7 linked regions of the Canis lupus familiaris genome follow. The protein of the gene in region 5 interacts with the protein of the main gene of each other region in a biochemical or structural test. Links are inferred from orthologs where the notes say so. Each region holds a gene or a part of one and is shown on either strand. Other genes may lie near its edges. The genes, in order: KAT5, nuclear receptor subfamily 0 group B member 1, CDK5, CDC34, PPARG, NCOA4 and TRIM24.

Region 1 (3,156 bases), on a different chromosome or scaffold from region 5:
ACCGAGGTCCCGAGCCTGCCTTCTGCAGGACTCGAAGTGTCGTTTCGGGGCCGCAAACTACGAGGCGAGGAGGTGGTGGTGCCTCCTGGCCTCGTGGGATACGTGATGGCGATGGAGGAGCAGGGAGAGGTGTCGATGGAGAAGGACTTCTCGGAGGGTGACGAGCGAGAGGAGCAGGAGCGGGCAGAACCCCGCGAGGCGCTGGAGCGGGACTTCGTGAGCACGGGGGTGGAGGGGCAGGGCTGGAGAGTGGTGCGGGCGGCAGCGGTGGCCCTCATGCTGAGCCGGGCCCCTTCCTCAGGACCAGTTTATCGGAGCCATCGCCAGTTTCAGCCGCTTCACGCTATGGGGTCTGGAGACCATTCCTGGTCCGGACGCCAAAGTGCGCGGGGCCCTAACCTGGCCCAGTCTGGCCGCAGCGGTGAGTAGGGGGATGGGACCTCACTCTTCAGGCCCCATCCATTCCCTTGTGCCTTCAAGGGTATTCCCTGGACTGTCCAGAATCTTGTCCGAGTGGACTTGGGGCTTCAGGGCCGGGGAGTACAATGGGGTACAAGGAGCCTGGGTCTGACTGGATTAGACTGGTCAGGGGCAGGGGCGCTTCCCTACCTCTGACTGGTCTAGAAGGGGTTGTCATTCTGAGTAGCTGGGTCACTCCCAGAGTATGTGGGCCACCCAGTGTGTGTCAAAAACCCAATAGTAGAGGTGACTCCTGTTGCAGATTCACGCACAGGTGCCTGAAGACTGAGAGCCGGAACTTGAAATTGAAAGCCACTGGTTCCTTCACCCCAATAAACCAGCTCTTCATTTTGGAACCACTGATTCCATCACCCCAATAAACAAGCTCTTCACAGCACCTGCGAGTTTGTGGGCACCTTGGAGTCTTCTAAGCTGGCACTACCCCTTCTCCCACAAGAAACTTTCATGGCTCAGTCTATAGAAATGATTTATTGCCAAGGAGCAGTGAGGGCAAGAGGCCAGAATTTTGCTGCCAGTACCCACCCCTCCTCCCAACTCCTTACAAAAGAAATTTTTACAGCCACTAGCCCTCTGTACAGAGTGCACCCACCCCCCATCTCACTGTACATAGCTGCTTGGCTCCGTCCAGTCCCTGCTTCATAGCAGGCCCAGACCTGCAGCCAGTTGACCTTGGAGTTGACCTGAGCCCTGAGCTCGCCTTGGTGCTGGGCAGCTAGCCCCTACCAGGCCTGTCCTCTCCTTATGAAGCTGTCCTCAGCCCCACCTCCCTTGGTGTGCCTCTTGGGGGCCCTGGTGGGGGTGGGATGTGCTGTCAGCCCCAGTTCTGCTTTGTTGCCACTGCTATAGACAGTGCCTGGTCACCATTTTCCCCTCTTGCTCCAGTCCTTGGGAGTGAAGTGCAAACACTTGGAGTCGATTCGAAGGAGCCGCTTGAGCATAGCTCTTTCATGCCCATCCACGATGTCCTCAGACAGTGTGAGGATATACTGGCCCTGGATGGGAGATAGGACCGGAAGGGTCAGCCCATGTGGGGTGCACACTCTGCAGCCCTACACACACGTCTCCCCCTGCCTGCCTCCCTACCTTGTAGTAGTTGATGAGATTGAGGTACTGTAGAGTAGAAATGACATCTTCCTTCTTGATGCTGGTGATTTCACTGATCTCGCTGTGGGAGGACAAGGATCAGGTCCTCTGGAGGCCTTCCTCTCTGCCCCAAGCCCCCAGGAGCCCCAGGAATGAGGATGGGCCATGCCATGCACCCCCAGGGTCAGAGGTAGGGCCAGGCTCACTTGATGGTGATCTGTGGCCTCTCCCCGCTCTCTGACTTCAGCCCCATCAGGATCTCCAGGATGGTCTGGGACCAGTAGCTTCGGTAGGATAGGAGGCCAAGGTCTGAGAGGGGCTTCTCAGGGGTCCCCGTTTTCCCTTCCACTTTGGAGAGTTCATAGCCTACAGCAAGGCAGCAAGAAGGGGTGGGTAAGCGATCACACCTTCATGCAACTTTCAGAATATGGTTACAGGAGTAAACTGCCTGGTTCCCATCTCACCCTTGCCATGTGGTAGTTCTGTGACCTGACATACGTAGCTAGTCTGCTGTGTCTGTTTCCCCAGAGAGCTAATGAGCATTCACTCTTCATCTCTGTGCTGTGGAGGGTACTGAAAGGAACAGCTATAATCCACCTGGAGAAAAACTCAGGAACCAGGGAAGTGCAGAGAAAATGACAAGAAAGGCAAGTGCCTGATTTTCATCATTCCAGACCATATCTCCTGGGTATGTGAGAAGGGAAGGCAGCCCCCACGTGTGGTCTGGGCCTCAGGATGTCTGGATTTGCAGTCAAGTCAGTCCCCCTAGCTGTGACCTGGGGAGCATTGGCTGCTCCAGGACCAGGCTGGCCTGACTAGGTGTTGATAAGAAGCAAGGAGAGGCACTAATGTACTTCCCAGGTCAGAAGGCGGCCATTCCACAGCAGGTAACTCACCTCTCCAGAGGCACTCTCCGACTGCTCTGTCCTCCTCTACCCTGCTGATTACTGGGCACTAGCAGGCAGTTCCTAGGGAGCCCCTCAGGCTGTGCAAAATCCTATATGGCTTCGTGTCTCTTGGCAGAGTCTTCATTCTCTCCCTCAGGGTCCTGGGGTGTCCTTCATTACCTCTATAAGCCCTTCTTCACCCTCAGTCACAGCTATGTAGGCTCACAGCCCTTTTTGCCTACCCCTCCCAATCTTTATCAGCTAGTCTTGCCCAATCTTCTGTGACTTCCACCAAGCAGCCTGCTGGGGAGAGGGACAGAAAAGCTCCTGCTTTAGAGAAAGGAAGCCTGGAAGAGGAAGGGAGCACACCTGGGTCCCTACTTGACTTTGCTGGGCCTGCCAGTGCATGTGGGATCCTGCCACATCAGCCTCCCCAGCTGCAAGGAGCTCCTGGCCCCTCCCCAGTGAACATCCACCTGCCCTCAAGAACTGCCCGGAATGGGCACTCCCAGTGCACCTGTCTGCTCCTGCTGGGCAGAAGTGAGCACATCACATTGGTGTCCTTGCCCACATCCTATCTCCATGGAGGTCTGAGCTTCAAGGCTTGGATTCATTTTAAGTATCCGCCCACATATCAGGCTGAGGGCTTCCTGAGAATGTGACCCCATCTTGGCATCATTCTATTAATAAAATAACTCAAATGGAT
Region 2 (4,588 bases), on a different chromosome or scaffold from region 5:
GTCTGGATTCATGGCTCCTTAAAACTTGAGTGAACTCCTCAGTTTCCGAGTCACTTTCCTCTGCTTTCCTACTATACTCTCCTTTTTTCACTGCACCCCCACCACCTCCTTGCAAAAGGTATGCCCATAAAGTAAATTCAGGAAAGAGAAAATGTGGACAGATGGACTCCACAATTTAAAAAAGTGTTTAAACATAAAGATCAGAGGATTCACAACAAAAGGATAAACATCTAAGAAAAGGCACACACTTAGCAGGTGCATTTGTGTTGAAAACACACTTAGCTTAGCTGATTAAAGTCACAGTGAGAGGATTCAGAGAACTAGATAGAATAAGGGAGGTGTGTGTGTGTGTGTGTGTGTGTGTGTGTGAGAGAGAGAGAGAGAGAGAGAGAGAATGACCAGAGTATGCTAAACAGGGTGGAGGGAAAGAGGGAAACTAGTGGAATGTAAAGTTCAAGAAGCTGAGCCCCTGCCTTTCTTTTATATTCCAACAGAGCTAGGCACATGGTAGATGTTTAAGAACACTGGCTGAAAAAAAAAAAAAAAGAACACTGGCTGAAGAATGATCTGAAGAACCATCTTGGGCACTTACTACAAATGCGGATTTGCAGACCCTGGACCACAGCTACCAAATCAGAACCTCCAAGGGAGGAGCCTGGTAAGACTTTGAAAAAGTGCCCCCCTCCCCTTATGCACAGCCAAGTTTGGAAAACAACAATATAAGCAAAAGGTGACTTACTGTGATCCCTGGGATGAGCTGTGGTCTCTAGGTCTTGAAATGTGAGTTCTGAATGAAATATTATCCTATTAGATACTGCTCTGTGCCCTTTCACAAAATGCTAGGCAGGAGCATAACCAGAGACTCCTGGTGTTAGGGAGGGAAAAGGTGTGGAGGGAGCATTATACAAACTATCCCAACTCAAGCTGCCTGGAAACTTTGTGACCACTTGTGACCCTTTTGGAGGGATTCTGGTCAAAGACAGCTCTAGTAATGGCACATACTCAAGAAAAGGTGCTGGGTAGCCCATGGAGATGTTCTCTCATGATGTGGTTGGTGTGTGGGGGGCAGTGTCCAGCACCTAACAGACAACTTGAAAGTGTGTGCAGCAGACATCCCATGGGGGCTGGGAGATCCATGTTCCACGACTCACTGGCCATTACTGTGGAGTAAAGTCACTTGGGACTAGGTTACCTAATCTGCAAATGGGATGGAGTCAGGGTGAAGGGCAGAGGGGCCTGATGAGGAGGTCCCTAGGGTCTCTGCAAGTTCTAAAAGACAGTGCTCCTGCTGGCAGTCCCTAGTGTTTTTTCCCTGCCCCCTTAGTACCCTGATACGGACACACTGAGGAGGACATAGTCCAGCTGCTTAGGACCATAAACGTGATCATTCAGAAGCAGTCCCATGAAAGGCAAGTCCAGCGTCCTGCATGACAGTGTCCCTGGGAGACACTCCAGGACTCCTTAACAAAGCTTTCCTTTCTTAGGAGCCTGAATAGATTTCCTTTCACAAAAAGTTGTAGTTCACCTCAGAACTGGGTTTCAGAAAGACATGTGGCAGGATTTGCAGTGAACACAAAGTTGTGCGCTTTTTTTTTTTATAGCTACACTACTGGATTTAAAAGACTAGAGGAGGACCAGCCCTGTGCCTTGATGGCACCAACTTTTCCTTAGTAACAGAGGGGGGAGAGAGATAAGTACTAAACTCCATCACCCAATCCCCCTGCTCTCTGTTTTGCGTCTGACAGCAGCCCACCCACGAGGAGTGCTTTCTGGAGTTCCCCCAACTCTGCTGAGTTACTCGAGATTCTTCGCTGGTTCCCCGACCCTCCCCTGACCACCGAAAACTCTTAAGTGCCTGTGCCTCGGCCAGCCGTTGCCCGGAGTTTTTCTGAACGGAGGAAAGCCCGCGCCCGAGGTCTCGCACTTACCCGGGTTAAAGAGCACGGTCCCCTTGAGGTAGGCGTACTCCTTGGTACTGATGTCCAGGCTCCAGCACTTGGCAAGGAAGCACTTGATGGCTTGGACTTCAGCGGCCGTTGGCAAACGCCCGGCCTCGCGCGGCGGTACCAAGGGGGGCGGCTGCGGGGTCGGAGGCGGCGGCTCGTCGCCCGCGGTCTCCCGCCGCCTGGTGGTGAGGATCCTCTGCAGCAGGCTGGGCTCCGAGGTCTCTACCGTCTCAAAGTTCAAGCGGTCCTGGGCCAGCTCGAGCAGGAGCAGCGGCGCCCAGCTGTTGCGCACCAGCACCAGCTGCTGGTCCAGAGGGAGCACCTGGAAGCAGGGTAAGTACTTGACAAAGCGCAGCGTCTTCAACAGGCCTGCCGAGGCGGCCTCGCAGACCACCTGTGGACTCTTGAGGGCCACTCGGCGCTGCGCGTCACACCGGGGGTCCCACCAGGGGGCCGCGGGCTGCATCTCCCGAGCCGCGTGCGTCTGCTTGGCGCTCGCGGGCAAGCGGTGGAAGATGCTGCCGGGGCGCGGGTGCTCGTCCCCGCAAAAGCAGCAGCGGGACAGGTACGCCACGGCCTGCCGGCCCGGCAGCTGCTCTCTGCCCCCCGGGCCCTGGGCGCTGTAAGAGCGGCCCCACCACGCGCCCCCAGGCCGCACCTCGGGCGTTTCCGGCGCCACGTGCGTCTGCTTGGCGCTGGTGAGCAAGCTGTAGAGGATGCTGCCCTGGCGCGGGTGCTCTTCCCCGCAGAAGCAGCAGCGGTACAGGAGCACCGTGGTCCGCGCCCCCGGCAGCGCCCCTCGGCCCGCCGCGGGCTCCGCGCCGCACGAGCAGCCCCAGCACGCGCCCCCCAGCCGCGCCTCGGGCGCCTCCGCAGCCGCGCGCGTCTGCTTGGCGCTCGTGAGCATGTTGTAGAGGATGCTGCCCTGGCGCGGGTGCTCTTCCCCGCAGAAGCAGCAGCGGTACAGGAGCGCCGTGGTCCGCGCCCCCGGCAGCGCCCCTCGGCCCGCCGCGGGCTCCGCGCCGCACGAGCAGCCCCAGCACGCGCCCCCCAGCCGCGCCTCGGGCGCCACCGGGGCCGCGTGCGTCTGCTTGGCGCTCATGAGCATGTTGTAGAGGATGCTGCCCTGCCACTGGTGGTCCTCGCCTGCCATGGCCCGCGGTGCCCGGAACCCGACTCTGTCCGGGTGGCGGCCGCCTGGGATCTATTTATACCAAGCGCGCACGCACGCGCGTCGGCCGTCTCCGCCAGGGCAAGGGCGCGGAGGGGGGCGCGGGCGCTGTGCTCGGGAGTGTTCGCCCTTGACCTCAGCGGTTAAAAAGGGGCAGATGCTCCTTAAAGGCTGAGAATGAAGGGGGGGCGGAGGCATGGGAGCTTCTGGACACTCCGTTCCTCTCGTTCCACCCTTCCCTGCCTCTGGAAGGCAGAGCGCAGAGGAGGTAGCAGATAATCCGGGGGCAGGGTTCCAACTCTTTTCACTGAAACCAGGCATCTCGTTTGCTCCCTTTATTGGAGGGGCAGGCGCGCCTCATTAAACGGGGACCATCTATTTCTATGCCATCGTTGAATACTTTCATTAAGTGCTCAAACTTTCTATGACTTATGTTTTCCATATGGATGGGGAAGTCTCGTTTTCAGGGAACTTGAAAAGTAAAGACCACGGACCAGCGATAAGAGCATTGCGTGGTAACTTGCTAGAAATGCCCCACCTCGGTCTCCAGCCAGACCTTCTGACTCTGAATCTGCATTTTAATGAGGTTCCCGGGGCGGGAGGGGAGTGGGGGTTGCATGCCCTTTACATTTTGAAAAGCGCTGCTTTAAGGATGCAGTCATAAGCGTTTTGTTTGATTCAGTTGATATTCATGAACACCCACTTTATGTATTAAAGAGCAAGAGTGACCAGGATGTAAAAGGGGCTAATATTTGGGGGTTATAATAATCGCAGGTGCTAAAAGGTTACTTCAGTGAGAACTTTGGGTTCTTCTAAAAAGTATTGCCTTGGGTAGTCGTGTAATTAATGTTTCTTCTCACACCCCTCCTACCTCAATAATGAGAAACACGGGTTTCAGGAAGCCTGGCTCCTTTGTTTTTTTTTTTTTTTTTTTTTCTTTTTCTTTTTTTAAAAGATTTTATTTATTTATTCATGAGAGAGAGAGAGAGAGAGAGAGAGAGAGAGGCAGAGGGAGAAGCAGGCTCCCTACAAGAAACCCAATGTGGGACTCGATCCCAGATCCTGGGATCACTCCCTGGGCTAAAGGCAGATGCTCAACTGCTGAGCCACCCAGGCGTCCCAAGCCTGGCTCCTTTGATCCTCACTGGCCACACAGCCTCCTTCCCTGAGTTCTATACAGGCGCTGAGATCAGTGGGTCTTTCCACATCACCACCTGCCCCCGTTGTGTAACTGTTTCACCAACCAGCTGCTTAACTTCAAACTCACAACCCTTTAGTTTTCAGATTCCTCATCTCTAAAATGGGAGGTTTGTTTAGTGATTTCACGGGTCCGGGGCTGAAGACTAATGTGTACCAGTTGCCATAGGATCATCTTTCTCCTTTTGTAGTTTCTCTGGGGCCTGGAATTCTGAGCATAAGAGGAATACCTAGGAGACACTGATTTGCATTCAACCTGAAATTTTATTCTGCC
Region 3 (4,509 bases), on a different chromosome or scaffold from region 5:
TACCGACTGCGCCAGCCAGGTGCCCCTCCTTCCTCCCCTTCAGAGAGCTCAAAGTGAAGGGAAACATCGAAGGATATCGGAAGATCCTCTTCAATTGGTCATCTACGTCGTTGCCGGGGAAAAGAGGCCGCCCTGCGTTGGCCAGCTCTGCGAGATGGAGCAGGGTGTGAGGAGGGGACATGTGAAGAACCCCTCATTCCATGGCACCCTCTGTGCTTTTCGTCCTCCTCCCCAAGGGCCTTACTCCCTTCCCCAGAGGAGACACTTCAGACCCTACTGAGGGTCCACTCGAGTGGGAGAGAAAGTAAGTGCCTCTGTAGACCCCCAGCCAGTCACCTGCGAAGATGCAGCCAGCTGACCACATGTCGATGGATGTGGAGTACAGCTTGGCCCCGAAGAGGACATCTGGTGGGCGGTACCACAGCGTGACCACCTGGAGAAGAACCCACCCCCCGCGACCCCCACTTAGAGGACTGTGAAGGAGGGGAAAATCATGTTTGGGGTCCTGGAGGAGATGAAAGATGCTCGGAGAGGACCCCCTCCCTCGGCCCCATGTCCTACACACAGACCCACCAGCTCACCTCGGCTGAGTAACAGCGAACAGGGATCCCAAAGGCTCGAGCCAAGCCAAAATCAGCCAACTTCAGCTCCCCATTCTGAAGGGAGATAGGAAGAGACATGGAGAGGGCTTTTCAACAGTCTCAGGGCAGGTCCCCTGCCTCGGCCTCCCCACTCCCCCACCTTCTCCCTGGAAGGTACCCTGTTTATTAGCAGGTTCTGGGGCTTCAGGTCTCTATGCAGCACGTTGCGACTGTGACAGAATCCCAGGCCTTTCAGCAGCTGAAAGAGGAATGACTGTGGGGGGAGGGAGGTGTAGGGTAGGGCGTTAGATCTTATGGATGGGACGCTGTACCCAGGGGTGGGCCACACGCCCCTCTTCACCCTCTGCTTTGCCTCAAAACCCCACCTGTCCTTCAGCGACATCATTCATTCACTGTGGAGGACTGGCTTTGTAATGTGCTAGGTATTAACATAGGAACAGTGCATGAAAGCCTTGGTCCGACTCTTTCTGGAACTTACAGCCTGATCTGTCCCCTATCTGGCCTCATGTAAGCACATGCTTCGTAGCCATCAGTATCTATACTGTGTTATGTTATTAATCAGGACTGCTGCCCCTGGAACCCGGGACAAGGCACTTGGCCTTGGGCCTAAAACAGTGCCTGGCACATGGCAAAGCACCCAACAGGTATTTGGTGAACAAACGAGTGGATGAATCTCTTTGAATCTCATTTTCTCATCCCTCAAGTGCAGATTACATCACTGATACCGGAGTGTTACTGTCAGATCAAAGAGATCATGGGAAGATGCTTGCAAGGAGGGAGGCCTGTGGAGGGCAGCAACAGGGTTTTCTCATTCCCTGAAGCTCCAGGGTGTCTCCACTCCGGGCCTGAACCTGGTGCTCAGAGGGTGCGCAGACCGCAGACAGACTCCCGTCCTGCCTCCCTGAGTCTCCGGGACACCAGCCCCTCACCTTCACAATTTCAGGATCCAGGTCACCATTACAGCTGTCAAAATACTTCTTAAGGTCCTAGAAAAAGGTGGGGTTGGGGGAGGGGCCAGAGTTTAACCTCAGTTGGGGCCCCTACACCCTCCCAAGGCCACACTGTCTCCCAAGTCCCCCTTTCACCTGGTCACAGAACTCAAAAACCAAAGTCAGCTTCTTGTCACTATGCAGGACGTCATGAAGCCTAGGGAGGAGGAAGGGCTCAGCCAGGCAGGTCTGCAAATTTCAGCTTCACGTCCCTATTATCAGCCCAACCCTGATCCCAGTATCAGCCCAGCCCTCTCTGAAGCCCCCCTCCTCCAACTGATCACACAGGCCAGGAGGACCCTGCCCATCTACACACCTGACGATGTTCTTGTGCTTCAGCTCTTTGAGTAGGCAGATTTCCCGAAGGGCTGAGCTCGGCACTCCCTACACATGGGAGGGGGCCGGGCGGGCAACAGTCACATCCCACCCAACCTGGGCCCTCAACCCCCACCCTGGCCCTGATGTTCCAGTCCTACCTCATCATCGTCATCCAGCCTCACCCGTTTCAGAGCCACGATCTCATGGGTCTCCCGGTTTTTGGCCTTGAATACTGTCCCGTAGGTGCCTAGAGGAAGAAGGTCAGGGGTGAGGGTAAAGATGGGACACCCTTCCCACCCCCATGAAGTCCCCCTGGGGAATTCAGGCAGCGTGGGAGGGTGCTATTTGTGAAGACTGGAGGAGTAGGGGGAGAGACTCAGGTGAAGGTTCAGCATGGAGGAGCTTTGTAAGTGAGGATGGGGCAGAGAAGGTGCCTGCAGATGGCTCACGGGTGTCTGCAGCAGGGAGAGGCTGCAGCTGCCAGGGTTAGGAGGTCTGTAATAAAGGCGGTGCTTCCGGAGGGTCTGGAAATAGCGAACAGGTCTGGGAGGAAAGTGAGGGGCGGCAGAAATGAGGCCGGAGGTCTGCATTGAGAACTAAGCTGGGGTTGGGGATTGGGGGGCCGGCGTGGGTGGGTGAGGCTCTGCGGGTGGTGCTGAGGCTAGGGCTAGGAGACGCAGGAAGTGCTAATGTCCGCAGGTGGGTCTCCAGGAAGTGCTAAGGTTGGGAAGGGGCGACTGCGGGAAATGCTAACGAAAAGGATGGGTGTCTGCAAGGAGTGTTGAGAGCTCGGGGCCAAGGCTGCAGCCAGTGCTGAAGTCGGAGCCTGTGGGTATTGCTGACGGTAGAGAAGCCAGGGTTCCAAGGAATGCTGAAGGGTCTGTAGAGGAAGATCTTGCAGGAACATCTCGTAGTCCCATTACCTTCCCCAATCTTCTCGAGTTTCTCGTATTTCTGCATCGCGGCAGCCGCGGGGACCCCTACGGGCCCTGGGTTCTAAGACTTCGGCCCCGGCGTTGCAGAGGAGGCGGCACCCCAGCCTCCGGCCCTGCCCCGCCCTCCTGACTGTGCATGGGCTTCTGGGGCGTGTAGTACTAAGGGTAGCCAGGTTTGCCGGCGATGTGCGCGGCATTAGACCACGAGAAGACTACAACTCCCAGCAGGCTGCTCAAGGGCTCTCTGCAGCACTCGCTTCCCGGGACTCCGGATCGACCGCGGAGGAAAACCTTGGACTTCAAGTCCCAGGAAGCATCGCGTGTCCGCTTTCCGGGCCTCACCGCCGAAGCGCCAAGGCTCCCAGTGTGCCTCGCTCTTGTTATTCCTTTCTGTGATCACTACCTTTTTTTGAAAAGGGCCTCTCTGGGACTACGCATTCCAGAACGCAGAGGGTGGGGGTGGGGCGCTCTCTGGGTTTGGGGTTTGGCGGCCTGCGTCCTGGGCCGGAAGGGGAGCGCTCTGGCCCGGCTGATGGTGTTGAGGTTCTAGCGACCTCCTGACAACGGCAATACGGACTCCCACCTCTCCCCAGGCCATCTGGAGACCTCAGGATTGATTGGGCAATGGCTCCGAGCCATGCCTTGACGATGACTTCACAGGGACCAGCTGAACCAAGGGGCTGGGAAGAGAGGCAGGTGTGCCCCGGGATTTAACCTACGCCAGAGACCCCTTCCTGCCCTCTGTTTGTCGTCTCGGAGCCCACCTGCCTCCAGCCGCTCGCTACACTGTGACTTCCCGAGGCAAGCTGGCTGGAGCCCTGGGAGACCCTTGGTACCGGCCTGGAGAGCCCGGGCCCACCGGAGGCAGCCAGGGTGTGGCCGAGAGCTGGCAGGTTGGCTGCCGCCCTCGACAGACAGAAGCACAGACAGATGCTACACTTGCAGCAGCCTTGACCTCATCCTTTAAGGAGTTGATTATAGATTTTCCTGCGCTCCTCTCTAATTGTCTCATGATTGCATTCTTGAGGGCTGTGAACTGGATAGAAACGGCCCCAAACAGCACTGCTCAGCACCAGAACCATAGTTGGTGATAAACATTTGTTAATTAACTTGTTTATATCGGAACGTTTTCTGCATATACACAATGCTGTGCTTCACCTACTGGCAGGCTAAAAAATAAAAAAGTATACTTCTTATGTGGAAGAATTTATAATTTAGTTGAGAAAACTAGAAATACAGAAATCTTGAGTGGCAGGGGATGATTATAATAGGGCTCGAGGGGGGAGGTCGCCGCAGGGAATCACTCTGAGGCAGAAGTTCCCGGGTTCGGAAAGTCTAGGTCAGCTGAGGGCAATGGGAATCCAACCTCCAGGAGCCGTCACCCCTATCGCCATCCCCCTCCCGCCCCCACCGCAGCAAAGAAAGGGCCTTTCTTGGAGGCACTGGGGATTACAGGGGAGTAGCGGGGGGTGGTTGGGGGAGAATCTCGACCCCGACGCATTCGTAAATATTTCCAGTTCCTCTGATGTTTCCTGAACATCTTCGTGTCTCCGTTTTCCCGTGTGTGTCTCCTCTTTCCGCCCAGAGGTGCCTAATGCGGCCCAAAGACGGCGTCCCCGGGGCGCCCAAGTCCCGCGCGGGGAAGCCCGGGCGGCGGCCTCGCGG
Region 4 (4,468 bases), about 52 Mb from region 5:
CTGGCCCAGGGGTCTTTGGGGCCCCCCGCATCCCGGCGGGAGGCCAGCCAGGGCAGATTGGACGGTACTGCAGGGAGTCGTGGCCCTGTCCTCCCGCGTCCGCGCCCCAGGGCTGGCCGGGCCTGAGGGAGCCCCACAGGGGCAGGGGTCCATCTGCTGAGCAGCCCCTCACACAGGGCCCGGTCCACTCTCACCTGACGTTCTGGGTGGGGTTCCACCGCTCTGAGGGCAGCTCCCCACTCTGGGGGTCATCGACTGGGGGGTGGAGAATGGAGATGCACACGTCCCCCGTCTGTGGGTACAGGACGGAGGGATCAGGGCCCACACCGCTCACCACTCGGCAGGCAGCGCAGCGTGTCCCCCGACAGGGAGGCTGCAGGGCACGCGGCGGACTCACCTCGTAGATGTTGGGGTGCCACATCTTGGTCAGGAACCGGAAAGCCGGCGGGGAGTAGGGATAGTCGATGGGGAACTTGAGGCGTGCCTGGGAGGGCAGAGCGCAGGAGCTCAGCCAGTGCCGCCCACGGCCCCCAGCCCAGGGCCGCAGACCAGGGTGTGAGCTGGGACAGACGCGCCCGCCCGGAGGCCGCCTGGACCCTGCCTGCCGCACGCACCGCCCGCAGGCCCCAGGACTACTCAGGGTCCCCCGAGCCGATCCGGGCCCCACCCCGCGGCTGGGAGCAGGTCTCAGGCCGTGCTCAGTCCAGGCCTGTGGGAGGGACGCGCAGCCAGGCCCCAGGGAGCGCGGCGGGCTCGGGCCGGCACATGGCTCCGGCTGGCAGGGCCCTGGGAGCTGTGCACCCCCGCACGGTGGTGGACTCCTCGGCCTCAGTTTCCAGGTTGTGGGGAAGATTAAAATAGACGTGTGTTCACTCAGCAATCACTCCCGACACCTCTGTGGGCCGGGCCCTGTGGGAGGAGATGAGTCAGCGCTGGACAGACGGGCTCTCTGCCCACAAGTGTCCATCACGGGGGGGCCAGGAAGGCAGACAGGAAGGTCACGGGGCAGACTGGGGAGGGCCACCTGCCCAGGTGACACACTGCTCAGGCCTCAGCAGGTAAAGAAGCCGTGTTGGCTTGTTTGAGCCCCAGGCCCAGACGTGGGGAGGCCTGGCCCCGGATCCTGGCGGAGCTCCAGGCCGGCAGGGGCGAGCCAGCGAGCTGGGAGACAAAGCTGGGCACGTGTGCGGCAACTCCCCCAGGCCCGAATTTGGAAAGTCTCCTTCCTGGGCAGGGGGCACTCGGGGCATTTGGGGGAAGTCCCTCTGCTCTGGGGTGACCATGCTGAGGCCCAGGAGGCAGGCAGCTGGCTGGCGACTGCAGAGCACTCCTGGAACTCAGAACCTGCCCTAAGAGTTTCCAGTGATGGCCCTCGGGGGCGGGGCGGGGGGGCTCCCTGGCACCAAGCACCCACCGAATCGAGCATCCCCCGGGGAGACCGCACCACTGAGCAAGCTCAGGCTCAGAGAAGGAAAGTCCCCTACTGAGGACGCCCGGCGATAAGCCGGGAGGAGGCCTCTGAACTGCCTGTCTCTGGCACCCCGTCTGGTCACGGAGGCTCGGGAGGCCGGGCTGGCCGCAGGGCGCTGGGGGAAGTGGCTGGAAGTGACGGTGGTACTTCCCTGCGCTTCCCCAGCTCCGCTCCCGCCCGTCGCACCTGCACGAGGACCACACTGGGTGTGGGGCCCAGGCCGGCCTCCTGCAGACAGGGCCTGTGGCATCTGGAAATCTGGCCGTGGCCCAGCTCCAGTCCCTTCTTCTCAAGTGGGATGACCCCTCCCCCCCAAAGCCATCCTGGAGGATCTACCCACAATCCCTTGCAACCAGTTAACCGGCAAAAATCAGAAGCCCAAAGCCTGTGCCCTTTCCCTCCAGCTCTGCAGCCTCACCCAGGGGCTCGGCCTGCCTGAGCGTCCCGGCTGCGAGAGCCGTCGCCCTTGCAGCCCGAAGCAGACACAGGAGGCTGGCGAGGGCCCTAGATGCGCTACTAGGTGGCCAACCCCAAATCCGTGCCCTGCGTGCCAGCGGGGGCCGGGCTCCCCGGCCATGCAGAAGCTAGCCCAGGGCTGTCCACGCTCACGCCCCCTCGTCCCACTGCAGCACCACGGTGGGGTGCTCGCAACTCGGGAGTCGCCCCAGCTGACCAGGCTGCTCCCTCACGCCCGCGGCCGAGCAGGCTCAGCTAAAACATCAGCTGAAAGTGCAAACACAGACATGTGCCCCGGGAGCAGCGGCCGCCCCTCCCCCACCGCCTGGCTTCTGCTCCCCACCCTGCCCGGGGCAGAGCCTGGCAGGGCCTGGCAGGGCCTGGCGGGGCCTGGCGGGGCCTGGCGGGGCGCGCAGGCTCCCGAGCAGGGAGGGTCCTGGGCCGGCCTGGGCCGAGGGCTCGCTCCCCACCGCTCGGCAGCGAGACCCCTTGGCCCGCGCCTCTGGCTCGCGTGCACGGCCCGGCCCTGCAACCTGAGAAGCGTCCTCCGGCCCGACCGGGCTCCGGCGGCGAGGTCAGGAGGGCCGCCCGGGGCCTGGCTCCAGTCCTTTGTCACACCAGGGAAACGCGGCCAAGGCCGGGCGCGGCGGCCCTCCCGGCTCCAGGCAGCGCGGCGGGACGGCTCGGGGACCCCGCGGCCGGCGGGGGGCGCAGCGGGGCGAGCGGGGGCGCCGCGGCTCACCTTGAAGTAGCCGCCCTCGTAGTAGGTGTTGGGCGGCCCGAAGATGGCCACCTCCCAGTTGTACAGGTCGCCCTCGTCCACCAGGGTCACCCGGAAGCCCTCCACCGGCTCCTCCTGCAGCCCCTTGAGCTCCAGCAGCAGCGCCTTCTGCGAGCTGGGCACCAGCGGCCGGGCCATGGCGGCGGCGGCGGGGCCCGGGGTCGGGGGCGCGCGGGGCCGCGGGGCCGCCGCGGGGGCGCGGGACGGGCCGGGCCGCGCGCCGGCCGGGGGGACGCCGGGGCCGCCGCCGCCGCCTTCCTCCTCCTCCTCCTCGCCGCCGCCGCCGCCGCCCGGGACCCCGGGACGCTCCACTCGCTCTGGCGCCGCCGCCCGCCCGGCGCTCGCCTCCGCCTGGCCCGCGCGCCCCGCCCCGCGCTGCGCGTGCGCGCCGCCTCCGGCCCCCCGACCGCGCCTGCGCGCCGCGGCGGGGCCCGCACTGAGCCTGCGCGCCCGCCCGCGGGGCACGCCGGGAAGTGGAGTCCCCGCCCCCGGCCCGCCGAGCGCGCAGGCGCGACCGCCGGGAGGGACCGGGGGGGGGGGGGAGGCCAAGCGCGCAGGCGCCTGGGCGCTTCCGACCCCCGGGAGGCCGCCGCCGCCGCCCGCCGCTCGGACGAGCACCCCGGACGTCTGTGCGCGGGGAGGCGGGCAGGGCTGGGCTGCGCCGGCCCGGCACGCGCCGCGGGGCTTTTGGGGTCTTTTCTATGACGTCCCAGCGCGGGGCGGGGCCGGGGCGGGGTCGCCTGGCCCGGGCGGGGCGGAGCAGGTGGCTTCGCGGAAGGGGAGGAGCGGAGGGCGGGGCCTCAGTTTCCCTTCGGGGGAGCGGAGCGCGGGGCCGAGCTGGGGGCGGGGTTAGTCCCCACCGCGCCGGGCGCACACCTGGACGCACACCTGGACGCACACCTGGACGCACACCTGGCCCCGGCCTCCATCCTCCACGCCCTCAGGGACCCAGAGGGTGGGCGTGGCGCTGTGCCCGCAGCCTCGCTGGCAGGTGTCCGGCAGGCCCCAGACCAGCACCTGTGCTGCGAGCCCCTCCTCCAGGTGCCCCAACACCTGCCCCCCCGCCCCCCGCTGCCGTCGCCCAGGTGAGGACACACAGGGAGCCTTGTCTGGCGCGAGGGAAGCAGCATTTCATCTAGAGGAGAGGGACAGGGGACCGGAGGAAGAGCCCCGGGCCCGGCAGCGGCTTCCGGCGGCTGCCCCAAGGCGGGGACCCTGACGTTCCCATCCGCAGAGTGGGCAGCCGCTGCCCCGCACCCCGGGCCACCTGGCTCCGTGCCCCTGGCCAGGGGTTCCCTGGCCCTCGTTCTGTGCCCGCGGCGCCCACGTCAGCAGCGGCATGGGGCAGCTTGCCAGTAAATAGTAATTAGAAGTAATCACGATTCTTGCAAATCCAGATCCCAGGATCTCCCGACGGAAGCCCCGCTCCCCCACGAAGCATGGGTGGGGGGGCTGGTTCTGCAGATGTAAAGGGACGTACTGGTTTGGGGCCGCTCCAGCAGGTGCCACGAGGGGCGTCACACACACACACACACACACACACACCCAGGGACGCCGGCTCCCGGCTCTGAGGCCTCCGGGGTTTGTGCCCACCGCACCTCGGTTTCCTGTGGGGGCGTCCCACTCTTCGTCTCTGAGGTTCCAATTGGACTGAGCCCCGGGCCCCGGCCGTAGGGACGGGTCACCCAGGCAGAGCCGCGGCGGTGTGGTCCAGGAACAGCACGTGGCTCAGCCATCTGACGAGGGAGCTCTGGGGCTTC
Region 5 (4,006 bases):
GCTTACCCACAGGCTTAAACATCTGGCTCTTTCTGAAACAGATTGCTTCCAGAGCATTAAGAAAAGAAATAGACATTTTCTTGGCTCAATATTTCTCATCTGCTTTCAAACTGAATTTTTATAGTTAAGTATATTTTACAGGCACACTGCGTTTCATTTGAGATCTGAGTAGATTTAATCTAAAACTGTAAGATTACTTTATGTTCAAGTGGGTGTGTTCAACCCTGAGTTGCCGAAATGATTTTTTTTTTTTATTGAAAGAAGGTTAAAAACACACTCTCTTGAAAGCCAAGATAAACAACAGATTTTGTATGATTTTTACAAGTCAGCAACAAAGTTTCTCCAAACAACCAAAACTGGAATTATTAGCCAGTCATACATAAGTAAAATGTTGCAGTATAAGTTGAAAGAAAAGAAGACCAAGCTTGGTAAAATATGTTTGGTTCCAGAAGACAATTAGGAGCAATAATCAGGAGATGAGAGTACTTTCTCATTAAGTATCTTCAACCTTAAAGATTTTAGTTAGCGAAGCAAATGTGTATAAAGAAACTGGAATGGGATTCACCCTGAATTAGAGATCTCCAACTCAGCCACTTCCCTTTTTTTTTTTTTTTTTGCAGCCATTTGTTATCTATGACATGAATTCCTTAATGATGGGAGAAGATAAAATCAAGTTCAAACACATCACCCCCTTGCAGGAGCAGAGCAAAGAGGTGGCCATTCGCATCTTTCAGGGGTGTCAGTTCCGCTCAGTGGAAGCCGTGCAGGAGATCACAGAGTACGCCAAAAGTATCCCTGGTTTTGTAAACCTTGACTTGAATGACCAAGTAACTCTGCTAAAATATGGTGTCCATGAGATCATTTACACGATGCTGGCGTCCTTGATGAATAAAGACGGGGTTCTCATATCAGAAGGCCAAGGATTCATGACAAGGGAGTTTCTAAAGAGCCTGAGAAAGCCCTTTGGTGACTTCATGGAGCCAAAGTTTGAGTTTGCTGTGAAGTTCAATGCACTGGAATTAGATGACAGCGACTTGGCAATATTTATAGCCGTCATTATTCTCAGTGGAGGTAAGATGCATCTTTTGATCTTTCGTGGAAGAGGGTGGGACAGCAGTATGATAATTGGAAGAATTTTGACATCCTTTTCTCTGTACTGCACTTTCATGCAAAAATATGCCAGTGGCATGATGCCATGAGAGCATCACTACACAGGTAAAGTACCAGGAGAGAAGATCATAGATTTGCTGTTGGAAGGCTGTGGGCAACCCCAGCCTTTCCAGTCAAATCCAAACATGAAAAACAAATGCCCTCTTCTTCTTTTTTCTCCTTTTTTTTTTTCCTTTTTATTTTCTTTTCCCCTGTCTTTTCCCACCCCTCCCCTTCTCTCTGTTCACTCTCCCTTCTCCTTCCCTTTCCTTCCCATCCCTTCCTTCCCTTCCAGCCAATCTATTCTTCATTTCATTTAAGTAATGACATGTACAACTTTGCTTAAGTCACAGTGCTCACTTGGCATAGAGAGAGCACAACTAAGTGGTTTGGGGCAGATTTTGTTCCTGCTCTACCATCAGGAAGATATTACTTTGAATTGCTTTCCTAATATCAGGAATCGAGTAATATTTATCTACTGACTTCCACCTATTCCCTCAGGTAGATTTATCTGATGGCTTCCCTTAAAGTAACTTTGTGAGGTGGTTGGCTGTGATTAAAAATATAATCTGAACCAGAGAGCACAGAGCAGAGAAATAAATTGAGTTATTTAGCAATTCATTGTATTTTTGGCCTTGCAAGTACATGATCTAACTGACAACTCCAAAGCCAGGTTTTATACTAAATGCTACTTTCATTGGCTACTCCACACATTTCCAGCTTATGTAGAAAGTTTTACTGTCATGTCTCTGTATAAAATTGTCTTTAAGCAATGAGTTTTCATTACTGAAATGGACTTCAGGTGAGCTTTTTGTGTGTACTCTACAGACAGAGGATACTCTTGGCAAAAGCTGACGTGGGGAGGGATGGTGGTCCTATAGATGTAAACTGTAAACTATATAAGATATTATAAAGAACATGGTGTACTCTGTCCTCCTTTGTTGTCCAATTACTTGAGAGCAGAATACTTCTGAAATCGGGTGCCTGATTACTACTAATAATAATGATAGAAAACACTTAAATACCTACTGTCTTCTAAGCAGTATCCTAAGCACATGATACACGTTCACTTAATTCTCCAGCCCAGCAAGAAAAGTACGTTTTGCAAAGGAGGAAGCCAGAGCCCTGAAAGGTTCAGTCACTTGCCCAGGGCTACGCAGCTAACACAGGATAGAACCAGGATTCTGAACTCCGGTAGTCTGGCTCCAGAGTCTACAGTAATACTGCCCTTTAGGTAACTTGGGTGCAAATAGATGACAGTGCAGCCCAGGTTAACTCTGGAGCCTCCACTGCAGTGTCAAGTTGTAACTCCTTTAAAAATGGTGTTTGGGGGGTTATATTTAATGTAACAAAAACTACTGTCCAACATGTTGTAATACCTTAACTGAATCTACTTAAACAGATCACCCCTCGATCCTCTGGGATCCATGATCAATTCAGCAAAGAAGAATAAGATTCTAGTTTATTTGAGGTGCATTAGGAGAAGAAACTTAAATTTTGAAGCACTAGATGAGAAAACAGGTTGTTATTGCTTAGCTAATAATTTGAGGCACATTTTATTTTTTTTAGGCACATTTTATTTTTAATGCAAAATAGAAATATTAACAGTTGATATGTTTCTAAGTTTTTTCCTGAGCATACCATATATTCCATGTTTATATTCAGTCATTTTCCCCACGTCATTATGTACTCTTTGTTAATATTTTTCATTAATTTTTGAAAATAAAAGTAATACGTGGTCATTTCATAATTCAAAGGGTACAGAAAAGTGTGAGTGAAAATTAAAGGCCTCTGTCCTCAGAATAAAATAAGATTAACAAAGTCCTATTCCTCCTCCTGAAAAGTTTCTGTCCATGTGCTAGCATATATATGTATACACACTACCATTTTAATGACTATAAAATATTCCATTTTAAAAAGGACCATTATATACCAAATAATCTCTTTACTTATTTTTTTTAAGATTTTATTTATTTATTCATGAGAGAGAGAGAGAGAGAGAGAGGCAGAGACACGGGCAGAGGGAGAAGCAGGCTCCACTCAGGGAGCCCGACGTGAGACTCGATCCCAGGTCCCCAGGATCACACCCCAGGCTGCAGGCAGCGCTAAACCGCTGCACCACCAGGGCTGCCCAATCTCTTTACTTAGGATTGCTAATTTAAAAACCTATCAACAAGAACATAGAAAATATCAAAAATGTGTTCTAAATTTTTGTTTTAGTGAACATTATTAAGTGTAAATTTCTGTTGAAATTCCAAATTATTTTCTCATTCTAAAGTACCAGAAGTGGAATTGCTGGGTAGATGATTATAAATATTTTGTTACATCATTGCCACATTGTTCACCACAACATTTATGAGTTTATATTCCCACCACAGATATACTAAAGGAAACATTTGAAATAAGCTATTCGAAGATGATTAGTTGCTAGCCAGGGCAGGTTTACACAAGAAACAGTCATGATAATTCTGGACTTTTTTGAACAAATTTTGGGTTTGTTTTGTTTTGTTTTGTTTTGCTTTTTAGGATTTATTTATTTTAGAGAGTATGTGTGTGCAAGCAGGGGGAGGGGCAGAGGGAGAGGGGGAGAGAGAGAATCCTGAAGCAGACTCCCCACTGAGCACAGAGCCCTATTTGGGACTCTATCCTAGGACCTTGAGATCATGACCTGAGCTGAAATCAAGAGTTGGCCACTTAACCAATTGAGCTACCCAGGCGCCCCAGCAAGCAATGTTGTTTTATGGGCCTGTGAGACAACAGGGTGTTTTCATCTAGGAAAACAGCCATTATGGCCTATAACTCATAAGCCAGGTTATTTAAAAACCAGCAATTTATTAGGCTTTAAATTTTTCATTAA
Region 6 (4,006 bases), on a different chromosome or scaffold from region 5:
GCTGTACTCCTACCCAAAGGTCACTGTGGTAGAACAGTCTGTGATAAGGCAGTTTTACAGATACACACAACTATGCCTGTTTGTGCTTTTAATGAAGGGAGGTACAAAATGCTTCAACACAAAAGAATGTTTTACATACTTATTAGCATGATGATGAATATAAAATTAGGAACACATCATTAAACTTCAAAACTACAAAGTTTCCTGCAACATAAGATAATGGAAAAGGCTCCTTAAATTTTTACCTGCCACCTTTATTATTAAAGTTCTAAGTGGTATTGGGGGAGGAGCGACGACCAAAAAATAGGTTCTTTTCAGCTGTGTTCAAGAAGTCAAATGAAGCTGTATGGCAAGGACTGTAGGACTCTGAAGTTTCTCCAAAAGGGCTTTTAGATGACCACATCACAAACTTCAAAAGTAACAGGAAAGCTGAATTTAAAACTTGTCTGAAAGCCCAGAAAGCAGCTAAGATATCTCACCTTTGAGAAGTTAAAAACATTATAAATCGCATTTCCTACAGAGATACTTTTTAAAGCATGGACGGGACTTTTAAGGATACTGGTAAAACATCAAAGTTTTCATAAAGCTTCAGTAAACACCCCAAGGCACAAGTGTTCAAAACAGCCTATTCACTAAAATGTCACTGCATTCTGAAACTTCCAAAGGTATAGGTACATTATGCTTGCAGTGAGAACATTTCATTTATTCCTAATTAAAAGCACCAGGTGTCAGACTCAGCTTCCCTTTACACAGGATGCACCAATAACCCTTAGGATAGCTAACAGTTCAAATACTACGTTTCCAACATGTCTTGCCTTTCGCTCTTTGATTGATTACTCAGCAGGAGGGCTCTTTTACCTGTGTTCAGAATATTATGAAAGTGGCTAGGACTACCCTGGATATAATCTTGAAACAATACGGAGCTCTTCTAAAAGCTCATTAGCTACTTCAATAACATTTAGATAACAGACCAAATTTGCAGTAGCTGAATCTCTTTCAAAAGAAGAAAAATAATGTAGAATCTAACATGTAAGTTAAAATGTTTTGTATAATCAATGTCAAAAATTGCCAAGATTGTTAATACATGTTGTGGTAAGAAAAAAAAATCACTATGTTGGCAAGGTTAACTATTTGTGTGAAATACACTAAACAGAAGAATCATTATTTCCACCACCAATGGAAGAAAACCCACAGCACGGGGAGCATCTAAAGGAGGACAATCAAAAGATTAGAGAAGCTTACTAGCTTTCAAATATATCAACACACTTTGATTACAGAACTATTTCATTTTTAAAACTACAGTGTTTTAATGTACTTCTAGTAACAATTCAATCTAAGGAGCTGTAGAGGCTTATGAAAAAGACCTATCCACCAAGATGCTGTTTGTTTCTAGTGTAGGGCTGAGTTAATACTTTTGTAGAAAGGAACTGAAATCACCTCAGCATCAACAGTCTTTTTCTTTTATGCAGTAACTTATAATTCGATGACTTATTTCTCTTCACTAGCTCAACTAGGCAGGAAAGGAACTAAGCTGACTGGTCAGACCCAGAAACACAATGATTTGGCAAGCTGCACAGTCACTCGGCCCATGGATATGGGATAATTTGCAGAAAAGTTGCTTGACTTGGGTTCCATTGCTTCACATCTGTAAAGAAACGTCCACAGATTAGAGTCCCTTCACTATAGGATAAAAGCAAATCTTCCCCGCCTTAAAGCTCAGACTTGTTTCTCAAGCTAATAGAATCCACAACAGGCTCTGAAAATTCCCGATAGTTATATCATCTTAAAAGGTCACTTTCAAGTATGTCCTAGTTATTTTATAAAGCAAGTTCAAGTGAAAATACCTGAAACTGTTACGATCCCCCAGCCATCATCACTTGCCTAGCACACACACCATTAACAGGACTATAGTTCAGTAAGCCAAGTGTGAATTCATATAGAAGACAAAACATTAAAAAAAAAAAAAAAAAAATTGACAAGCAGCTAAAATCTTTTTTTTTTTTTTTTTTTTTACACTAGAGACATGTACGCACCTGTAGAGGAGTTCGATACAACCACTTTTCTTTGTCTACTTTAAGCTGCATACAGGCAAAGAGGTCACAAACTGCTGGGAGGCCATAACGGTCTTGGGGAAAGTTACATTCCTCCTGTAGTGGTGAATTAAGTAATACTTCCTGCAAGAAGACAAAAGCGGTGGGTTGCTACATGACAACTGGGAGGCAAGACACCAACTTAACTCATCTGCCCAACAGTGTAGTGTCTCTAAAGAATGTGTACATGTTGGCCATTCTCTCAAATAAGCAAGAGAAAAGGTAAAATTGTTTATTAATCTTTCCCCAAAACAACCACTAAAACTGAGGTGTTGTTTTTCTTTCCTGCAGGATGGGGCCTGAAAGCCTGGAAAATGTACAAAAATTTCAGTCTGAATCAGATGTTCCAGCAAGATTAATATGCCAAATAACATTTAACATATTTCAGGATCTGGCCCATCTGCAAGATTTGGGATTAAGAAAGTATCTATCTACTAAGTATAGTTCAGATTCTGTGCTCACCTTGGCCTTCTTTCGAAGTAGCCACTTGTCTTCTCCTGAGGATAATTGGCTGAGGTTTCCTATCTGCTTTCCTGGCAAGACCCAGTCAGCTGTATTAAAAGGATGGCAGAAAGTGGCCACTGGGTTCATAGGCTTTTGCTTGCTAGCTCTGTCTTCAGTACCAAGCATTTCCTTGGGACAACCTTCTTTGCATGAGGGTGTGATGAGCCACTCTGACAAAGGGCTGTTCCTTATGACTTGGAAGGAATCCGCAATTCTAGAAGGAGCCACTGCCTTTGACATCTTAGCTTGTTGTGCTGCCTCTTTTCTGGAAGGACAGAGCCACACACTCAGGGAATCTATACACTTCTCAGACTCAGGATTTGGTTCCACAGGCATACCATTTTTGTCTTTTCCTTCTTTCTTCAGAAGCCATTTACACAGAGCTTCCTTCTCACAGTTCTCATCACACACACACTCTGCAAAGCTCGTACAGGGCTCATTGGCTTTGCACACCTCCTCCACTTTATATGGGTCCTGATGATTCTGGACAAGCCAATCCTCATTAATCATGCTGGGAATGGACGAGGGTTTCTTGGCCTCTAAGTGGTCGTTCAGGCACTTCAGATTGCCCAGGTTTTCAATCTCCACACCCTTGGGCTGGTTGCCCCGACAATTGGTACAGGAATCGGGCTTGACAAGCCAATCATTCACACTGTATGGCTCCTGGAACACCTGCAACAGGAGCTTAAACTTCCCACTGGTTTCACAGCTGCCATTCCCAGGCTTCTCCAGCTTATGGGATTCCTGAGGAGTCACCAGCCAATCAGAAAGGTCCATCTCGTCCTGCTCAAGAAGGTCCAGATCTCCAATCTTTTCAATTTCAACAGAGTATGAACTGGTAGTAGAATGGCTGTTACACTTCTGGTAAGTTGGTTTTTCGGGAACCTCTTGTTGCTGACTCTGGTGGAGCCAGTTTTCTAAGCCCTTTAGGTTGCCCCAGACTTTACCGAAGAAATTGCAGGCTCTGGCAGAAGTCTACACAAGAAGTATGCAGTATTAGTCCATAGAACATTATGGCTGCTTTGGGGTTCAATGATAAGAGTTCATTTATTTACACTCCCTAGAATTTCTAAATTTAAGTATATAAAGCCAAGGAAAGGATTTCTCTGTTGGGATATTAAAATATGTATTGAATAACAAATTTCTGCAGTTTTAAAAAAACTTAAAAATACTAAAGACAAACTAAGAGAAAGCTTTTGTAGCCTATCTGATAGAAAAGAGGCTGGTAGTTCTACATAATCAGCCTTCACAAATAAAGACAAAAATGAACAAAGGATATGATTAGGCAAGTCATCCAAGAAGGCTAATTAACCTAAAAAATATTCAACCTCCATAATCAAACTTCAAAACAAAAGTAAAATTGTTCTTTGTATCAAATTCAGAGGAAAAAAGGAACTTATAAATGATTGCCA
Region 7 (4,747 bases), on a different chromosome or scaffold from region 5:
TTGTGACCTCAACAAAACTTGTTTTGTTTGGCCTAAAGAATGGGCCTGTGTGCGTGTGTGTGTGTGTGTGCGTGTGTTTGTGTGTGTGTTTTAATTTATTTGCCATTATCTAATCCTAGAGAAAGCTCACACAAAAATCCGGGCTTCAGACTTCTGGTTAAAAGAAATACAATATATATCTATATCTATATCTATATCCTTCAATACTGGCCCTCTCTGAGGGCACCTGGGTGGCTCAGCGATTGAGCATCTGCCTTTGGCTCAAGTCACGATCCACGTCCTGGGATAGAGTCCCACATCCGGCTCCCTGCAGGGAGCCTGCTTCTCCCTCTGCCTGTGTCTCTGCCTCTCTGTTTCTCTCATGAATAAATAAATAAAATCTTAAAAAAAAAAAAATACTGGCCCTCTCTTCTCTTACATGACAATCTGCAAGAGCTGAGTTTGCTGCCCGCCTCCCTTTCACTCCTCACTTTCCTTATTATTTTACCCCCAAGCTCATAGTTCTCCAACTCAGATAACTAGCTTAGCTCCTGTAGGTATTATATAGTTTGATCCATGATGACTGTACCCACAAGTTCATTAGGAGAATGAAGAACAGAGATGGTGAAATGAACCCTATTTATTTATGAAATGTGCTGGCTAAAGTTTTATCTCAGCTAGTATTAGAGTAAGTTCACAAGGAGAGGGACGAAGAACATTCAAGTTAATAAGATTCAGGATAGGTAGTATTTTTAATTTATAGAAAATGACCCTCTTTTTTAACAGTGTATTTAAAGAATCATTTGTTAGAGACCATTACCTTCCAATTTATATGCTTTCTTGAACTCTTGCTGGTAATACAAACACCAAGATAAAATATATTTAGACTAGAATCGCATTGAACATTTTGAGAAATCTGGAACTTAAAACCTGTCTCAGAGTTTAGTTTCAGAGCATTTATTCCCCCTGTTCTCATTCATTCCGGTCTGAATATCATGGCCAGGCACACGATAAACCTTAATTCTAGAATTACGCAAAATTCAGATCCTGATTGGCTACTAGCCTATTTAACCAATTAAAATGCAAATAAAAGAGACCTTAGACTGTGTCTAAACATTAAGAACTAGGATTTGTTTCACCTGTACTGAATTTCCAACAGGTGGGCCACATGAGAGAAAACAAGAGTGAAAGATCAGAGACTTCAGCCTATTTGCAAGCTAGCTTACCATGGTAGAAGGCAGACTCATGGGTGAGAGACCAGGGACGTTTATTAGCTACTCACAATAATAACGTAGGCCAAAGCTAACATAAACCGAAGCATCGACATTTTTGCTCTCCTTCCCGGAACCCCAGTTCCCACCAGGCAAGGTCAAAGGGCCAGCTGACACCTGCACAGGCAATGGATTGTGTTACACCAGAGGAAACCTAAGCTTAGAGCACCCCAATCTTGTATCGTGGGTACTAAGCATGCCTGTCTTTAACTCCAGTGGACATCACACTGGACCACACGCACGCCTGCTCTTTGCTCTGGTGGAAGACACAATCTCTATCTTCCAAGGCTGATCCTTATACAAACATCTTTCAAAAACAGAAACAAAGGGCAGTCACAGTACCTCCCTGGCACGACCTGCAGAAACTGAGAGACCGCTGGAAAACTGGCTCCCTAGGCCAGATACTGTTCCAAACACAGAATCAAATGCAGAGTCTAACACTACTGTCTGTCTATAGCACCGATTTCATATACCCCTTAACATAGGCTCAATTACTTAATTAGCATTTTATCTCAAACTTAATCAACCAGACCCTCTGAAAGTATACATCAAAACGAATCATCAAAAAAAAAAAGAATCATTCCCTTTCTAATTACTTTCTATTTTTAAAAAGGAGGTAGGTGCTCCCGAATCCGCAAAGTCGCAATTTACAATCCTCATTCTCCTAGGATGCTTACTGCGCTTACTCTGACTCACTTTTTAAAGGTCTCAAACCTGTTAACGCTCGCAATGGGAACGACCTGTCGAAAGTCTCATTACCCAGTAACAAATGCACCACCAAAGAGAACAGCAACGTCCTCATTACCCAGCTGTCGTCTACAAAATACAAGAAAACCCTGCGGGCCGCCCGCCCCCCCCCCCCCAAAAAAAATCACTCCCTTCTATTTCTCTTTACCCTTTACCGTTGCGAAAGAAAACCTTCCAATGCAAACACACACACACACACAACCACATACCGTCTCTCTGGGTCCCTCCGTCCCGGCAGAAGGGAGAGAAATCGGGGAGACGCGTCAAAGAAGCCGAAACATACGTGCAGGACAGAAAACAGCATCCGGATCTGCCACGCGTCTCCCCGAAGAAAAGTCCCCGTCGCTTCGTCTTCACCCACCGCCCACCACCCCCGGCTCAAATGACGTGGGTCCGAACCGGGTGATGAGGGCCGCACCGACCGGGACAAAGCTCCGGGGGAGGCAGAGGGCAGAGCAGTGAGCCGGACGCAGCGGGCCAAGCAGCCGAGCGACGCGGCGCAGCCCGCTCCAGCCCAGGTTTCCAGAGTGCGGGGCGCGCTCCTCCAGCCCCGGAGGAGAACGCGGAGCCGCCGCCGCCAAGCCCTCGGCGCCCGGGGAAGTGGCTCGCGGGGCGCGCGGCCGCCGCCGCCGACGCGGACCCTCCTCCTCGCCCCTCCCCCGCCGCGCACCCCCGGCGGCGGCGACGTGACAGCGGGTCGCGCCGCACCCGGGCGCCCGCCTCCTGCCCCGGAGGGGGGCCGCTCCTCAGGCTCCTCGGGCGCCCCGGGCGCCCCGGGCTCCCCTCCCCCCCGCGCGCCCACCTCGGCCGCCTCTCACCTTGGGTGGCGAACGGCGAGGAGCCGCTGACCGGCGAGCCGGGGGCGGGGACGGGCGGCGGGGTCTCGGCCGAGCCCAGCATGGGCGCGGGCAGCATGAGGTAGCGCTGGGGCGCGGGCAGGCAGCGCTGGCAGAAGGAGTGCAGGCAGGGCAGCAGCTTGGGCGCCCGGCTCTGGATGTTCTGGTGGCACACGGCGCAAGTGTCCAACAGGTTGAGCCGGGCCGCCTCGCCTCCCCGCTCCGAGTCGGGGCCCTGCCGACTCTCGGCCTCGTTCTCCCCGCTCGGCGCCGCCAGGGGCCCCCCGGCGGCCGCCGCCGACGCCGCCGAAGCCGCCGCCGCCGTCGCCGCCTTCTCCACAGCCACCTCCATTGTCCTGCCCCCGCCGCCGCCGCCGCCGCCGAAGGGGGAGCACGGTCCCCGCCTGCCGCCGCCCCCGACGACCTCCTCCTCCGCCTCCTCCTCCGCCTCCTCCTCCTCCTCACAGGCCGTTAGGATGACCCGCGGGAGACGGAGGGCCGGAGGGCGGGCCGGGCCGAGGAAGCCTCCTCAGGCCCCGGGGATCCGCCTCCCGGGTGGCGCGGCCGGAAGAAGGGGATCTGTCAGCGGGAACCGTTCCTCGCACCGGGAAGGCTGCGCCCCGTCCGCTTCGCCAACCGCCTCGGCGCTCGTCGAAGGCGCCCAGCCCGCCCTCGCCTCCCCGCCTTTCTGTCCGGGCCCCCCCGCCCTACCCCGCCAGCGCCGGCCCACCTCAGCCTCAGGCCCCGCCCTCCCGCTCCCGGCAACTGAGGCCCCGGCGAGGAGCGCGCCGCCCAATCGCCGCCGCGCCTGGCCAGGGGGCGGGGCCTGCCCAAGCCCGCGAGGCTCCGCCGGCCGCGGCGGGAGGCTGGGAGGTGGGAAGGCGCTTGCCCAGCCCCGCCCCCGCCCCAGCCGCGGCCTCTGATTGGGCCTTGCTGTGCGTGGCGCTCCTCTAGGAAGATCAAGGGATCGTTTGTTAATGACGGACGGACTAATTGGGTCCGCCTGCGTTAGCCCCGCCCACGGGGGGCGGAGCTCCGCCGCCGGGCGCGCAGCGCGGCTAATTAAGTAACTTGCTTGCAGAAGTCTCGGTTTCCTGCTGAGGATCCGGGTCCCCGCAGGTGGGGTGAATACGGCGGGAGGGTCAAAGGATGACCAAGTGGATGGAGACTGTGAAGAGCGAGCAAGCGAGGAATTTTATAGGTGGAGAAACGTGTGGATGGGACGTCGTGGGGGCAGCGTGGGCTTGCCGCCTGAGTTCGCGCCTCGCTCCCGTGAGTGATGGGACCTGATGCGGAAGGACGGATGTTCTCTTGCGCCTTGGAAGTGTTTAAAGAATTCCACCACCACCCCCAGTGAAAAAAAAAGGTGAAATCGATTTCTAAGTCGGCGATTTGCTTTTTAAATGAGGAGAGATAGTTCTGTCTCCGAGACACTAATAGGTTAAGATTGTCAGAAAGTGTTCTTTATTGCATAAATAGGACAACAGTTGGAAAAACAAGTGAATTGTCAGGCCTTACGGATGTCCAAGTAATTCCTTCAATGACTTTTTTCATCCCCCACCCCGCCCCCACCTTCATCCCACCCCCTACCCCCCCTCGCAAGGTGCACATGCTTCCAGGTAGAAGGTACACACGTGTTTTTTGGTCAGGTTTGATCTGGTTGGTAGTGAAATGAAACAGAGGCCCAGCAAAGGTAGGTGGAGGCAAGCTTTTAATGGGATGCGCTCTCAGGCAAGGCAGCGCAGCCGGGGAAGTCGCGCCCAAAGGGAGTACCTGCGAGCTTTTTTTTTTTTTTTTTTAAGATTTTATTTATTTATTCATGAGAGAGAGAGGCGCAGAGACACAGGCAGAAGCAGGCTCCACGCACGGAGCGCGACATGGGACTCCATCCCCGGTCTTCAGGATCATGCCCGG

The links.
Region 1: the proteins of PPARG (region 5) and KAT5 form a complex in vitro, tested with the Homo sapiens proteins (2 studies listed by BioGRID, with this or other methods). The link is inferred for Canis lupus familiaris from reciprocal best matches to the Homo sapiens genes PPARG and KAT5.
Region 2: the proteins of PPARG (region 5) and nuclear receptor subfamily 0 group B member 1 form a complex in vitro, tested with the Homo sapiens proteins (2 studies listed by BioGRID, with this or other methods). The link is inferred for Canis lupus familiaris from reciprocal best matches to the Homo sapiens genes PPARG and NR0B1.
Region 3: of the proteins of PPARG (region 5) and CDK5, one has a biochemical effect on the other in vitro, tested with the Homo sapiens proteins (3 studies listed by BioGRID, with this or other methods). The link is inferred for Canis lupus familiaris from reciprocal best matches to the Homo sapiens genes PPARG and CDK5.
Region 4: the proteins of PPARG (region 5) and CDC34 form a complex in vitro, tested with the Homo sapiens proteins (2 studies listed by BioGRID). The link is inferred for Canis lupus familiaris from reciprocal best matches to the Homo sapiens genes PPARG and CDC34.
Region 6: the proteins of PPARG (region 5) and NCOA4 form a complex in vitro, tested with the Homo sapiens proteins (2 studies listed by BioGRID, with this or other methods). The link is inferred for Canis lupus familiaris from reciprocal best matches to the Homo sapiens genes PPARG and NCOA4.
Region 7: the proteins of PPARG (region 5) and TRIM24 interact in a test that uses a peptide from one of them, tested with the Homo sapiens proteins (2 studies listed by BioGRID). The link is inferred for Canis lupus familiaris from reciprocal best matches to the Homo sapiens genes PPARG and TRIM24.

What each region holds. Positions count from the first base shown.
Region 1 is NC_049239.1:52,000,410-52,003,565, forward strand, and holds the end of KAT5 (histone acetyltransferase KAT5), read right to left. Parts: exon of another isoform or gene 2,203-3,156; coding exon of another isoform or gene 2,092-2,202; intron 1,930-2,091; coding exon 1,770-1,929; intron 1,646-1,769; coding exon 1,564-1,645; intron 1,473-1,563; coding exon 1,338-1,472; 3' UTR 930-1,337; downstream 1-929. Other genes in the region: RNASEH2C (ribonuclease H2 subunit C), read left to right, coding at 29-216, 302-421, 2,092-2,202. UniProt on the Homo sapiens protein: Catalytic subunit of the NuA4 histone acetyltransferase complex, a multiprotein complex involved in transcriptional activation of select genes principally by acetylation of nucleosomal histones H2A and H4.
Region 2 is NC_049260.1:25,562,495-25,567,082, forward strand, and holds the start of nuclear receptor subfamily 0 group B member 1, read right to left. Parts: upstream 3,115-4,588; 5' UTR 3,100-3,114; coding exon 1,929-3,099; intron 1-1,928. UniProt on the Homo sapiens protein: Nuclear receptor that lacks a DNA-binding domain and acts as a corepressor that inhibits the transcriptional activity of other nuclear receptors through heterodimeric interactions.
Region 3 is NC_049237.1:15,833,244-15,837,752, forward strand, and holds the start of CDK5 (cyclin-dependent-like kinase 5), read right to left. Parts: upstream 2,975-4,509; 5' UTR 2,870-2,974; coding exon 2,833-2,869; intron 2,157-2,832; coding exon 2,068-2,156; intron 1,976-2,067; coding exon 1,908-1,975; intron 1,749-1,907; coding exon 1,688-1,748; intron 1,589-1,687; coding exon 1,532-1,588; intron 856-1,531; coding exon 760-855; intron 657-759; coding exon 582-656; intron 434-581; coding exon 337-433; intron 148-336; coding exon 78-147; intron 1-77. UniProt on the Homo sapiens protein: Proline-directed serine/threonine-protein kinase essential for neuronal cell cycle arrest and differentiation and may be involved in apoptotic cell death in neuronal diseases by triggering abortive cell cycle re-entry. Interacts with D1 and D3-type G1 cyclins.
Region 4 is NC_049241.1:58,444,786-58,449,253, forward strand, and holds the start of CDC34 (ubiquitin-conjugating enzyme E2 R1), read right to left. Parts: upstream 2,869-4,468; 5' UTR 2,847-2,868; coding exon 2,670-2,846; intron 485-2,669; coding exon 398-484; intron 293-397; coding exon 195-292; intron 1-194. UniProt on the Homo sapiens protein: E2 ubiquitin-conjugating enzyme that accepts ubiquitin from an E1 ubiquitin-activating protein, and catalyzes its covalent attachment to other proteins by an E3 ubiquitin-protein ligase complex. In vitro catalyzes 'Lys-48'-linked polyubiquitination.
Region 5 is NC_049241.1:6,222,667-6,226,672, reverse strand, and holds part of PPARG (peroxisome proliferator-activated receptor gamma), read left to right. Parts: intron 1-620; coding exon 621-1,071; intron 1,072-4,006. UniProt on the Homo sapiens protein: Nuclear receptor that binds peroxisome proliferators such as hypolipidemic drugs and fatty acids.
Region 6 is NC_049249.1:1,945,096-1,949,101, forward strand, and holds the end of NCOA4 (nuclear receptor coactivator 4), read right to left. Parts: intron 3,570-4,006; coding exon 2,553-3,569; intron 2,175-2,552; coding exon 2,034-2,174; intron 1,646-2,033; coding exon 1,640-1,645; 3' UTR 53-1,639; downstream 1-52. UniProt on the Homo sapiens protein: Cargo receptor for the autophagic turnover of the iron-binding ferritin complex, playing a central role in iron homeostasis. Acts as an adapter for delivery of ferritin to lysosomes and autophagic degradation of ferritin, a process named ferritinophagy.
Region 7 is NC_049237.1:9,918,364-9,923,110, forward strand, and holds the start of TRIM24 (transcription intermediary factor 1-alpha), read right to left. Parts: upstream 3,186-4,747; coding exon 2,816-3,185; intron 1-2,815. UniProt on the Homo sapiens protein: Transcriptional coactivator that interacts with numerous nuclear receptors and coactivators and modulates the transcription of target genes.